Nothobranchius furzeri: one gene and its partners. The protein of the gene in region 3 interacts with the protein of the main gene of each other region in a pairwise test. Links are inferred from orthologs where the notes say so. Each region holds a gene or a part of one and is shown on either strand. Other genes may lie near its edges.

Evidence for each region.
Region 1: the proteins of fhl1a (region 3) and akap12b interact in binary tests that used the Homo sapiens proteins (3 or more experiments, as listed by UniProt). The link is inferred for Nothobranchius furzeri from reciprocal best matches to the Homo sapiens genes FHL1 and AKAP12.
Region 2: the proteins of fhl1a (region 3) and mybpc1 interact in a two-hybrid assay, tested with the Homo sapiens proteins (2 studies listed by BioGRID and IntAct). The link is inferred for Nothobranchius furzeri from reciprocal best matches to the Homo sapiens genes FHL1 and MYBPC1.

What each region holds. Positions count from the first base shown.
Region 1 is NC_091742.1:2,886,884-2,889,652, forward strand, and holds the end of akap12b (A-kinase anchor protein 12b), read right to left. Parts: coding exon 1,231-2,769; 3' UTR 1,227-1,230; intron 694-1,226; 3' UTR 639-693; downstream 1-638. UniProt on the Homo sapiens protein: Anchoring protein that mediates the subcellular compartmentation of protein kinase A (PKA) and protein kinase C (PKC).
Region 2 is NC_091741.1:43,201,567-43,205,693, forward strand, and holds the start of mybpc1 (myosin-binding protein C, slow-type), read left to right. Parts: upstream 1-1,260; 5' UTR 1,261-1,473; coding exon 1,474-1,495; intron 1,496-4,127. UniProt on the Homo sapiens protein: Thick filament-associated protein located in the crossbridge region of vertebrate striated muscle a bands. Slow skeletal protein that binds to both myosin and actin.
Region 3 is NC_091741.1:82,973,536-82,977,717, forward strand, and holds the start of fhl1a (four and a half LIM domains protein 1a), read left to right. Parts: upstream 1-1,314; 5' UTR 1,315-1,539; coding exon 1,540-1,561; intron 1,562-4,182.

The DNA of each region.
Region 1 (2,769 bases), on a different chromosome or scaffold from region 3:
ACTTCTTATTTTTTCAAATCCAGGTGTTGAATTTAATATGCTCTATAACAAAAAGCAACAAATATTCATACATAAAAAAGCAAATAAAGAGGAAAAATAAAGACATATGAGTGAATACTGATGATATAAATACAATGTACAAAGATATAATATCCATCTCTTTGTCTCAGAAGTCCCCCTCACTTTAGCTTCTTTACACATTCACACACACACACACACACACACACACACGCACGCACGCACGCACGCACGCACGCACACACACACAACCAAGTTGCAGCAAGACTTGTGACGGTACGATGAGAGTGTTTAGGAGCCAGATGCTTTCTGAGATGCAGGACATGCACGAGCATGTGTGTGTGTGTGTGTGTGTGTGTGTGTGTGCGTGAGTGTGTGTGTGTGTGTGTGTGTGCGTGAGTGTGTGTGTGTGTGTGTGTGCGCGCGCGCATGCGTGTGAGGGGACAACGATGGGCTGCCTTGTGGTTGTTGTGAAGGGGCTGCAGGTCAGGGGTCAGGGACAGGTGGGAGGAGAGAGAATGGAGATACTCGTCTGTCTGGATGGGATGGACAGTCACCACAGAGAGTGTGTGTGTCGCCACAGAGCACCCTCACTGTTTTCTCTCTCTCACACTCCCGTCGTTTATTTCCTGGTCCAGACAGCTCGTCTCCCAGGCATCACTTCTGCAGCTTCATCTGTGGAGAGAACCAAAAGTCTGATATTACTACAGAACAAAGCAAGACTGCTTAGTAAACACGCCCAGTTTCATTGCTCATAGCAGACACCATCAGTTGTGTCTCTGTCACACATACCTCACATTAAGACTTTATTTAGTCAAAACTGAGAAAATAAAACCCATAACTTTGTGGGCAGATCTTAGAAAGCGTTCTCCAACATGGTTTCTTGACTCCATGTTAGGTCTGTGATGGATGAAAAACAGGAGGAGGGAGCGGAGGAATCATAATCAGCCTTTCAGCACAAGTTCATCTGCCCCTCACACATCGCTTCCCTTTAAGATCCCAAAGCCCACAAAGACGGGGTGAATGCTGGCATTCCTGCTTTGATATCAAAGGTGCCCTGGTTACTGAAAGTCTGAACAAAAGCTTTTTCATCTGGTCGGTGTGCAAATCTCCTCCTCTGCTCCCTAATAAAAGAAAAACCCACCGATGCTGAATAGAAGACCGGTGGAAACATGTCGTGTAAATTTTGTTCTGCCCCAGGGTCTCACCTGCTCATGATGCTGCTGTGATCTCCATGGACACGGGCTCGATCTCCTTCACCGCCTCCTCGATCACCTGCGCCATCACTTCCGCGCACTTTCCCGATGTTTTCTGCCCGGCTTCTGGCTCCTCTGCTGCATCTTCTCCTGAAGCCGTCTCTTGAGGTTCCTCTGGTAGCTCTGGGAGGCTGTTTTGTCTTGAAGGCTTGTCAGCTGTTGCGTTTGTGTTGTCCCCGTCAAGCTCCACCGTGGTTTCCACCTCCGCTGGCTTCTCCTCAACCACATCCGCCGACTGCAGGATCACCTGGGTCGGCATGTGGATCTCCAACACTTTCTGTGACCCATTTTCCTCCTGACCTTTGCCCTCTTCGACCATCTCTGTTACTTCCTCCTCAATAATCGTTCCTTCACTCACTTTCACCTGCTCTGCCATCTTTAAGCTTTGTTTAGGCTTCTCCTCTTCCTCCTTCTCCACTATGTTGTGTGTGACCTCCAACGGGACGGTCTCAGTGACCTCCATGGCGACAAAGAGCGCCTGCAGCGACGTTGCTGCTGGTTGTTCACAGACGACAGGAACAGGTGTGTCGGTGATGACGACACACTCGGCTGTGATTTCTATCTCGTCTTGTGTCGTCGCGGTTGCTTTGACTGGTGTTTCCGTAGCTGCTGGTGGAGCTGCTGACTTCTTGAGGTGGGAAGCATCTTCTAAAACTTTATCGACAGCTTCCGTAATCACAGCCTCTGCGATCACCACACTATGAGTCACAAGCTCGCTGCCCAGATGGACCTCTTCCGTGGCCTTTTCAATCTTCTCAGAAGCCTTCTCGACGTCGTTCTCTTTAGTTTGATGCTCCTTCTCTGGCGCAACAAGAACCACCGTCTCTATGACAACAGCGTTTCCCTCGCTTGTTACAACAGCAGGAGCAGCTGTTTTGAACCCCTCTGCGTTTTCTTTAGTGTCACAACGTGCAGATGACACCTCTTTGGCCACAACCTGACTCGCCTCCCCTACAGGAGTACTTTCTTGACTTGCAGCAAGCTGCTCCAGCTCCATTCTGACCTCTTTGATCTCCACAGTCATCTCAGCAACTTCCACCATCCGGGTGCAGACAACCGCCTCGGGCGTTGGTGCGATGGCATCGACTACCACCGATTTAGGGGAGTTCTGCTTCAGCATTGTCGGCTGAATGACCTCAGAGTTCTCGGTGCTGACCACTGCCACCTTCTCGATCCCAGGCTCGTAACTCTCGGTGGCAACTTGGACATCCACCACTTCGCTTTGCAACTTTTCAGCAACAGGCTCAAGCTCAAGAGTTTGTACTTGGTGGACATGAGCCTGGAGAACCGGGTCTTCTGTGGCTTCTGCTTTTCCTGAACCTTCTGGCTTCTCCTCTACAGCTATCTCCACGTTTGCTGCATCACTAAGGGGAGCGGAACATTCCACCGTGGGCTCAACGGGCTGCTCCAGGGTGACACTGGCGATCTCATCTGTTTGGAGGCCCGTGCAGATGGCCACGGTCTCCTCTTTCACATGTAGCTCCAGGACGGCATT
Region 2 (4,127 bases), about 40 Mb from region 3:
TTGCTTCTTCACACAGAAACAGCAGGTTCTGCTCGGTGGCCTGACCTGCCCTCGACCTGCTGACGAGTGCTTCGAAAACCAGAGGGTGTCAGTGTTCTCCTTCTCGAAGCTCCTCCTGGAGTTTCCTCTCTGTGCTGTGATCTAATGGCTAAACCTCCGCTGTGATGTCAGCTCACTGGTGTCTCGGGCAGCACCAAATGGTTTAGTGCTCCACGTGACATTTCCCTAAGCCCGGAGCCCACTTCTGGATATAAATGGGCTGAAGTGGGGGGAAGGGGGTGACCAAAAAAAGCAACAAAACAACACAGACAATTGTTTTGGAAGGGGTCTCCTTATGAACAGCCTTAATGAAATACATGTCTGACTTAACTGAACCGTTGGCTATTACTGGTATTCTTTTAAAATGACCAGTTAAGACTGTTGTTGCTCCAACAGCAGCCAGCATCTTCACCCTCATTGGTTTCTCATCAAAGAGCTGAAATTTGACTAAAATAGCCTCTTAATTCTTAATAAATCCAAATTTATTTGAGATGCGCGAGTCAAATGTCAAGGTTTATGACAGCTTTCTATGTATAGGTCCTTTAGCCTCCATTTGCCAGTTTGATAAGCCTGCTGTTCTTGGGCAGCATTACCAATGGATTAAATCCATCAGGAATAGACCTCAGTTCCTCACATCAAACTTTTCTTTAAGGAGGAAAAACAGCTCAAGTACTGTGTGAGTTTGTGCTGCCAATCACTTGAGAGTAACCACAGAAGAGCATTGCATCATCCTCAGACCTGCGGCAACGACAACACATTCTCCGTTTATATCCCATTCTCCGGATTTGGCATCCAGTGAGAGGATGTTTTTCTAAAGAACACGAGTTTTATTTTTTATTTGCTGCTGGAGTTGCTGTTGTTTCATAAAGAACAGTGGAAGGGTCTCCTTTAACAAGTGTGATTGTGATTGTCAGCCATTTTTAAGGTTTACTTTAAAAACTAATTTGGAAAAGCAAAAGAAAGGTTTCAGTCTTGATTTAGAATCTGAAATGGGATTTCAAAAGTACAAACTGCCTTCAGCTCCCTGGGCGTTTCCAGTTCTTTGATATTTGTTTCACCGCTAAAACACAAACCAGCAAATTTTGTATTGTGCAGACTGATGGATGAATTGATGATGTAATTTTTTACACAGAGCTCCACCACAGAGAGGAGGAGGAGGAGGAGCATGCCAGCTCTCAAATAAAAGCCCTAAAGCTCAGTCCCCCCCTGGATCTGTCACTGGTCCACCTCTGTTCCCCAACTCAGATTCCCAAACCTTGCATCCTCCTCAGCTTCACTCATCGCGGTGCGAGGGATCCAAGATTTGTTTTTCCAGCTGCATCTCTGTCCCTCTTGGACTGAGAGGGCTCTAGACGCCTTCAAGTCGCACTGCTCTGACCACATCTACCCCGCTCCTTCTGAATCCCTGACAGTTTTCTTGCCTTGCGGCTCAAGATGCCAGAGCCCACAAAGAAAGGTAGGAAACTTGGTTGACTCATGAGGAGATTTCAAAGTATGCAAAAAAAAAAAAAGAAAGAAAGAGCAAAATATACTCTGATAGTATTTACTCATTTGTAAGAACAAAGAAGATTTAATAGAAAGTGAGGATGTGTGATCTCCTACGAATGGAGACTTTATTGCTGTTAATACGTCGTTGATTGAAGGGAGCAGAGCCAGTTGCTCCTGGCTGCAGGGAGATCCATCACTTTGGGACTCGCCTGCCAGCTTTTACATAGGAATCCTCAAAGTGACTTTGACAGTGGTATTGTATTACTGAACCATGCGCGTCTCTGCCATCTTGGGTACAAGAAAAGATTGGAGGTCTACGGATGGACGGTATTGTTACTTGAGGGGTTTGCACATCAGATAGATCCAGCCGGAGAAAGACGCGATGATGAGGAGGAGGCATGCCGATGAGGGCTGAGCCGCAGAAAGGACGATGCAGTTAGGAAGACGCCAAGCAGGGATGAAACTCCTAAATGCTTCTGTGGTGTCTAATATGGTCCAGAGAGCTGTCTCGTACCGGGCCAAAACTCGAGTCAAAATTCAGCCATCCTCAGCATCTTTGACCCTGCCCTCTTGTTGAACCTTTCTAATATTGCTCACCTGCACAATCACGTCCATCACCGCTCTGCTTTAATCCACCTGTGTCTGTCAGTACAACATGGTGTTATGCCTGGCCTCCTCGTCAGATCAGCTGTTATCCACTCGGGCGTGACCATGTAGAGCAAACAGAATGTATTGTTTGGTCTTTGGAGGGGAGGAGGCAGCTCCTGACACAGATACGTCTGTGGGTCCTAGAGTAGGGTTATTTGAGCCCTTAACATTTTAATGCACTATAAAATGTCTTCATCCTCTCCTTGAGTCATTTCACAAAATCTTGTTCATGAACCAGATTACAGTACAAGTACAGGCACCCTAATGGTGCTCATCCACTGCCATAAACATCCCGACCCACCCCGGAGACAAAGCTACAGCAAAAAAGGACACTTCCCATAAATAGCTACCAAACCAACAGATAAATGAGTGGGAAAGTATTGTTCTTTAAATGAGTCTGAACAGCTGAAGGAGAAGAGGGCGGAGGTAGTGTTGCTGCTGTTTTGGACATCCTCCTCTCCAACGAGAAATGATGGACTCACTCAGTCGTCTGCCGGTCTTTTGGGAATTGGATTCTTGTCCCTGGAATAGTTCAGAATGAGCAGACTTTTAATCCCTGTGCCTTGTTCTCTGCCATCTCCCTCCATCACTGCCCAATCCCTCCTCCTCTTCCTTCTTGCTCACCAAAACAGACACCTCCCTGCCACTTTCCATTCAGGATGGATCGCTTAGAGGTCAGGTGCCGCCCTATTAAACGTCTGCCCCTTGTACCCACAGGGCTCACAGGGTTGTTCTCACTGTTTACAACTTCTGAGCGCCAGCAGACGACTGACTTGTGTCCTCAACTCCACGTTCTATCACTCTCCCTGCACGCTGTCCTCTGAAAATGTTGTTGCATGTTGATGGATAGCACGTCATGAATAAAACTTGTCTTAAAAGAATGAAGATCTGTCAGCAGCTAATTGTCACCCCAGAACACTTTTGTTCTATTTATAGGCACAAAAGGCCACAAACAACATCACAAGACAAAGGAAAAACATCAAAGCCATCAGGTTATCTTTGGTTGCATCGTAAGGGTTTATATAAGGTAAAAAAAAAGGGGGGTGCCGGCAGTTTGGCTCTCATTTGAGCCTCTGTGAGCCTTTCTGTCTGCGTGCCAGCAGGGCCAACAGCTGCAAATACCTGTCACCCAGTCAGCTGCACTGGAATCCTCAGAGGTAAAACAAAACCTTTCTCCACTCTCATTATCTCGACGGTGATGAGACAGCGAGCGGACGTGGCTCGCTCTCGGGTAGATGATGTGACCCTGCAGGATTGTGGTCCGGTGGCCAGCAGCACATTGTTTTCAAGTGAGGTGGGAGGGAAGCTAATTTTGAAAAGGATTTTTAACGGGAATCGTTGCAAACGGATGCTTACAGAATATAGAATATCCTTTAATAAAAGAATGACATTTGTTGATAGCCCGTTGTAGAATTAATTAGCAGTGTTCAGAATGATGAAAGTCTGAAACTCTGCATGAAGAAAGAGAGATTATTTCACCTCCTGAAAGCCTGCTTCTATAGGAGGATCTTGGCTTTTGGAATTATAATACTTTATTCTGTCCAACCTTCCTGACCACTTCCAATTCTCACACCTGACTTTAGTTTTTATCAATTTTAGGAAAACACATTTTTGAGCAACTACTTGAAAAATGTTTTTTTTTTATAATGTGATGCCATTTCAAACAGAAACCTCAAAAATGTAAAAATCAGTTGGTGGGTAGGGGAGGGGCTGCATTATGGAAAAGGAAACTAGGGTCTAAAAACTTAATATTAAATAAGTCTGGAAAAATAAAAACAATTTCCATCGTAATAAAACTTTGCCTGAAGAAGTAAAGAAAACAATCTTTTATATAGTGCCTCTGAATATAAAAATCACGAGGTGCTTCATGAGAAGAAAAAAAATTAAATGCAGAAAAAAATTACAAAAGAAATATATATATATATATATTGTTAAAAAGAGAAAAGAAAAAA
Region 3 (4,182 bases):
CTCTGGCTCCTTCAAATGCAGTTCGAAATCTGGGTGTTGTGATTGATGAACACCTGACCTTTAAAGATCATGTTGCCTCTGTTGCTCGTTCATGCCGCTTTGCGCTGTATAACATACAAAAGAGCATACTATACCTAACACAACATGCCACCCAGCTCCTGGTGCAATCTACTGTCACCTCCCGCCTCGATTACTGCAATGCTCTTCTAACTGGTCTTCCAGGCTGTACTGTGAGACCTCTTCAAATGGTCCAGAACACAGCGGCGCGTCTGGTCTTCAATCAGCCAAAAAGAGCACACATCACCCCTGTTCATTGAGCTCCACTGGCTACTGCTAGCAGCATGCATCAAATTCAAATGGCTAACACTAGCATACAAAGTCCGAGATGGTACGGCTCCCATCTACCTGAGTCCTCTTGTAAAGGCTTACATCTCGGCCCGGCCGCTCCGGTCATCACAGGATTGTCGGCTAGCAGTGCGTACACCACGCTCAGGACAATCCAGACTTTTCTCATGCATCGTTCCACAAATGTGGAATGACCTTCCAAGCACTACCAGAACTGCGGCTTCCTGTTCAATTTTCAAGAAACTCCTGAAGACCCTGCTCTTCAGAGAGCATCTTCTTAACTAGCACCCTCACTGCACCGGTCCCCCCTCTCTACTGTCCACTCCTTGTTCCCTCCTCTCCATGACTGATGTCAAGTTGTTGTTGTTACTATTGTTGTTAGCCTCAAGGGCAACATGCCGATTATCACTTGTAAGTCGCTTTGGACAAAAGCGTCTGCTAAATACATAAACATAAACATAAACATAAATAAATACACACACTTATGCAATTTCTTTGTTCTCTCAGCATGCATTATTATTATTATTATTATTATTATTATTATTATTATATTTAATCTTCAATAATCTATTCCCTAAAAGACTGAAAGTCAAGGTCAAAGACCACAATAGTTTGGAATTTTGTTTTTAACAGTTGGGCTACCAACTAAAGTCTGTTTGGCTATTGAACCTTAAATTTAACATAAGTGATGATTTAGAGAAAATGTGTTCCCTTATCAGTGTAACATATTAGAATTTTCTTCATTCACATGCAAACATCTTTTCCCTGACCTATTACTGTAATCTACAAATAAATCTGATTTATACCAATAAATTCAAGTTTAAACTTGTTCATCTCTAAGGCGATCCAACATGTCACACGTGCATGTTGTAAACGTTCTAACACAACATTTCATTTCAGGCAGAGGGAGTATCTATTATCCTCAGAGGACAAAACCTTCAGGTTGTGTTTTCTCTTTTTTTAACATCTGATGTTACTGCAGTGGAATCCAATTTGTACCACTGGTACTCTAATGCATGTCCTAAAAAGGATAGGAGGGGTGAAGGTTGGATTTGGATGTGGGGTCAGAGGCTTTGTGTGGGTCACAGAAGGGTATATACAGGCCTCCGTAACTACATGATGCTCGTGGTTTTCTCGGTTTTACCCAGTGTGGATGTTACAGCTCTGATCTTTGCCGCCTGACTGAAACCAATCATGACTTTCTACAAACACTCAGGTAAAATTACACAAAGGTACTCAGATTTAGTAAATTGCTCGATGTAATAACAGATCTAATGTGTAATTTTCTCATCCTTCTAAATGACTTATTCAGGTTTATTTAAAAAAAAAAAGTTCAGTCTTCCGTTTGATCATTAAAAAATATGTAAACTCAAAAACATACAGATTTTATCTTCACTTAATCAGTTAAGTTTCCTCATGTCGGTACGGCCTACCCTTCTACATGTTAGTTTTTACCTCTTAAAAGTTGATTTTAACATCTATAATATTCTTAACAGATTGTAAGGCAGGGCAGCATTATACACAGAGGACAAATAAACTTCTTTGGAGAGTCAGGGAAATAATTAAAAAAGACAGAAAAATGGTATTTAAAAATACATTAAAAGTAATTTTATTTGGTTTTACATAAAAAAAACATTATGTAGCAATTTAAAAAGAACCAGACTAAGAATTAACAAATGAAAGCAATATTAATGCATCTCAGATTTTTCTTTCTTATACTCATTATTATGTAAAACTGTGACATTGTGGAGCTCCTTGAATTATGATTTTTGATAGAAAGATGTGACAGTTATTTATTTATTTAAGAGCATCATCTGAACTCAATTTTATTTTCTGTATCTTTTGATGTCTGATGAAATAGAAACAATCATTCTTACAAATTGACTCACTGAACAGAACGAATCCCTCTCTAATTGCATGTTTGTATGTAGCACTGCATTTTACTCCCAGTTCTCAGTTTCTGCATTTTATTCAATATGATTTGAGCATTTTATAAATGGAGTGATATAGCTAGGGGCTATAATTGAAGAGAAATTTCATACTTACAATTTATTTATTTATTTATTTATTTATTTATTGCATTACTGAGTTACACGTGGGTTTAATCCAATCCTTGTTCACTGGAAAATATTAGAAACCTTAAGAATTGTTAAGATACATTAGCCAACAAATATTATATAGTTATGTTTATTATGATGTAGTCCAACATAAGAGGCCTAAAAGTGAGTAAACTGTGAGGATTTGTTACCTTTTTATTAGTAATATTTTAGTTCTTTGTCGAATAAACCAGAAGAGAGTTTATGATCAGTATTTAAATCATAGTGTCATTAAAAGAGTGGAAATGTGTGATCTAACAGCTGGAGATCTCATTTGAGAATTATCACTTGGTTCACGTTGAAAGACATAAATCATTGTGCTCTCTCTCTCTCTCTCTCTCTCTCTCTCTCTCTCTCTCTCTCTCTCTCTCTCTCTCTCTCTCTCTCTCTCTCTCTCTCTCTCTCTCTCTCTCTCTCTCTCTCTCTCTCTCTCTCTCTCTCTCTCTCTCTCTCTCTCTCTCTCTCTCTCTCTCTCTCTCTCTCTCTCGCTTTAGAAATTTGTTGTTTTCATGATCTCTCTCTCTCTCTCTCTCTCTCTCTCTCTGTAGCTTTAGAAATTTGTTGTTTTCATGATCAGTGTGACACAACAAGACGGAGAACAATGTAGCAGTCTGGGTCAGACAGTCTCAAACTGGTCCCGCTGCGACCTTTCCTAGTGTTGAGGACTTTTCCACAGTGAGACACAGAGATATAATCCTCAGTGCATGCCGTATCGATCGCCTGTTTGACAGCTGCTCCACTGTTTGGAACTAAAGATTAAAGTTCTGGACGGGAGTCAGCCGAAGCCACAATAGGTTTGCCCCAGCAGTCATCACCCTGAGGAGGATCAGTGCTCTTTAAAGAGGGTCAAAGTTAAAATAGGCTCATAGGCCAACTGGGCTCAGTGGAAGCTGCTGTGATGTGACGAGCTGGTATTGGACAGACAGGGAGGGGTTTTCCTATTGCCTGTGTGTGTGTGTGTGTGTGTGTGTGTGTGTGGGTGGGTGGGTGGGTGTTTTGGTTCTTATCCTCAAAGCACAGCTGCTCTCCAAGTTATATCCATCCACACACAACAGAAGCAAATACCACACTGCAGGAGGTTGTTTACTACATCACACTTAAATAGCCACAGCCTGCCTTACACAAATATTTTCATGTCCCTATGGTTACAAGGACAAAATGTCATTCCACCCATCGTTTCCTCCTTTGCTGCTGTTGTTACCGATTAGATTAAAATATCTGTGGCACTGCTTGTGTGCTGTTCAGCTGTCAGTTGAGGCTTCATAAACAACTTTTTAAGTCTGCACACAAGTGATATGTTAAAACACCCACTGTCTCTGGACATAATTCGTTACTGAAATCCGACTTTTAATAAAAGGTCTGATTTGGAGTTCAGACAAAAGACTGTGTGGCAAGGCTCCAGGGCTAGAGTTCACCCACTAGCTTTTCAGGGCCAGTCTGATAAAAAGTCTGCAGGACAGACAACAAGCAGCCATCTGTGTGCTGCAGTTTCACCTCTCTCACACTTGTCTCATGGGTTTGGTATGCTGCTGTAACAGCCGGATCTAGCCGCGTCTTTATGGGAGAACGTGGAAAAACAGATGTTCTTCTTTAAAAATCCTGTTTCTGAGTTGGTTTTAGAGCAAGGAGCTCGGATAAGTAAGCGTTCCTTTATTGAGTACAGAGTTAAAGTCTTAATCAGCTTTAAATTCTTTATAATTTACTTCCAAGCACCAAAGTGGTATTTCAAAGTTGCCTTGAT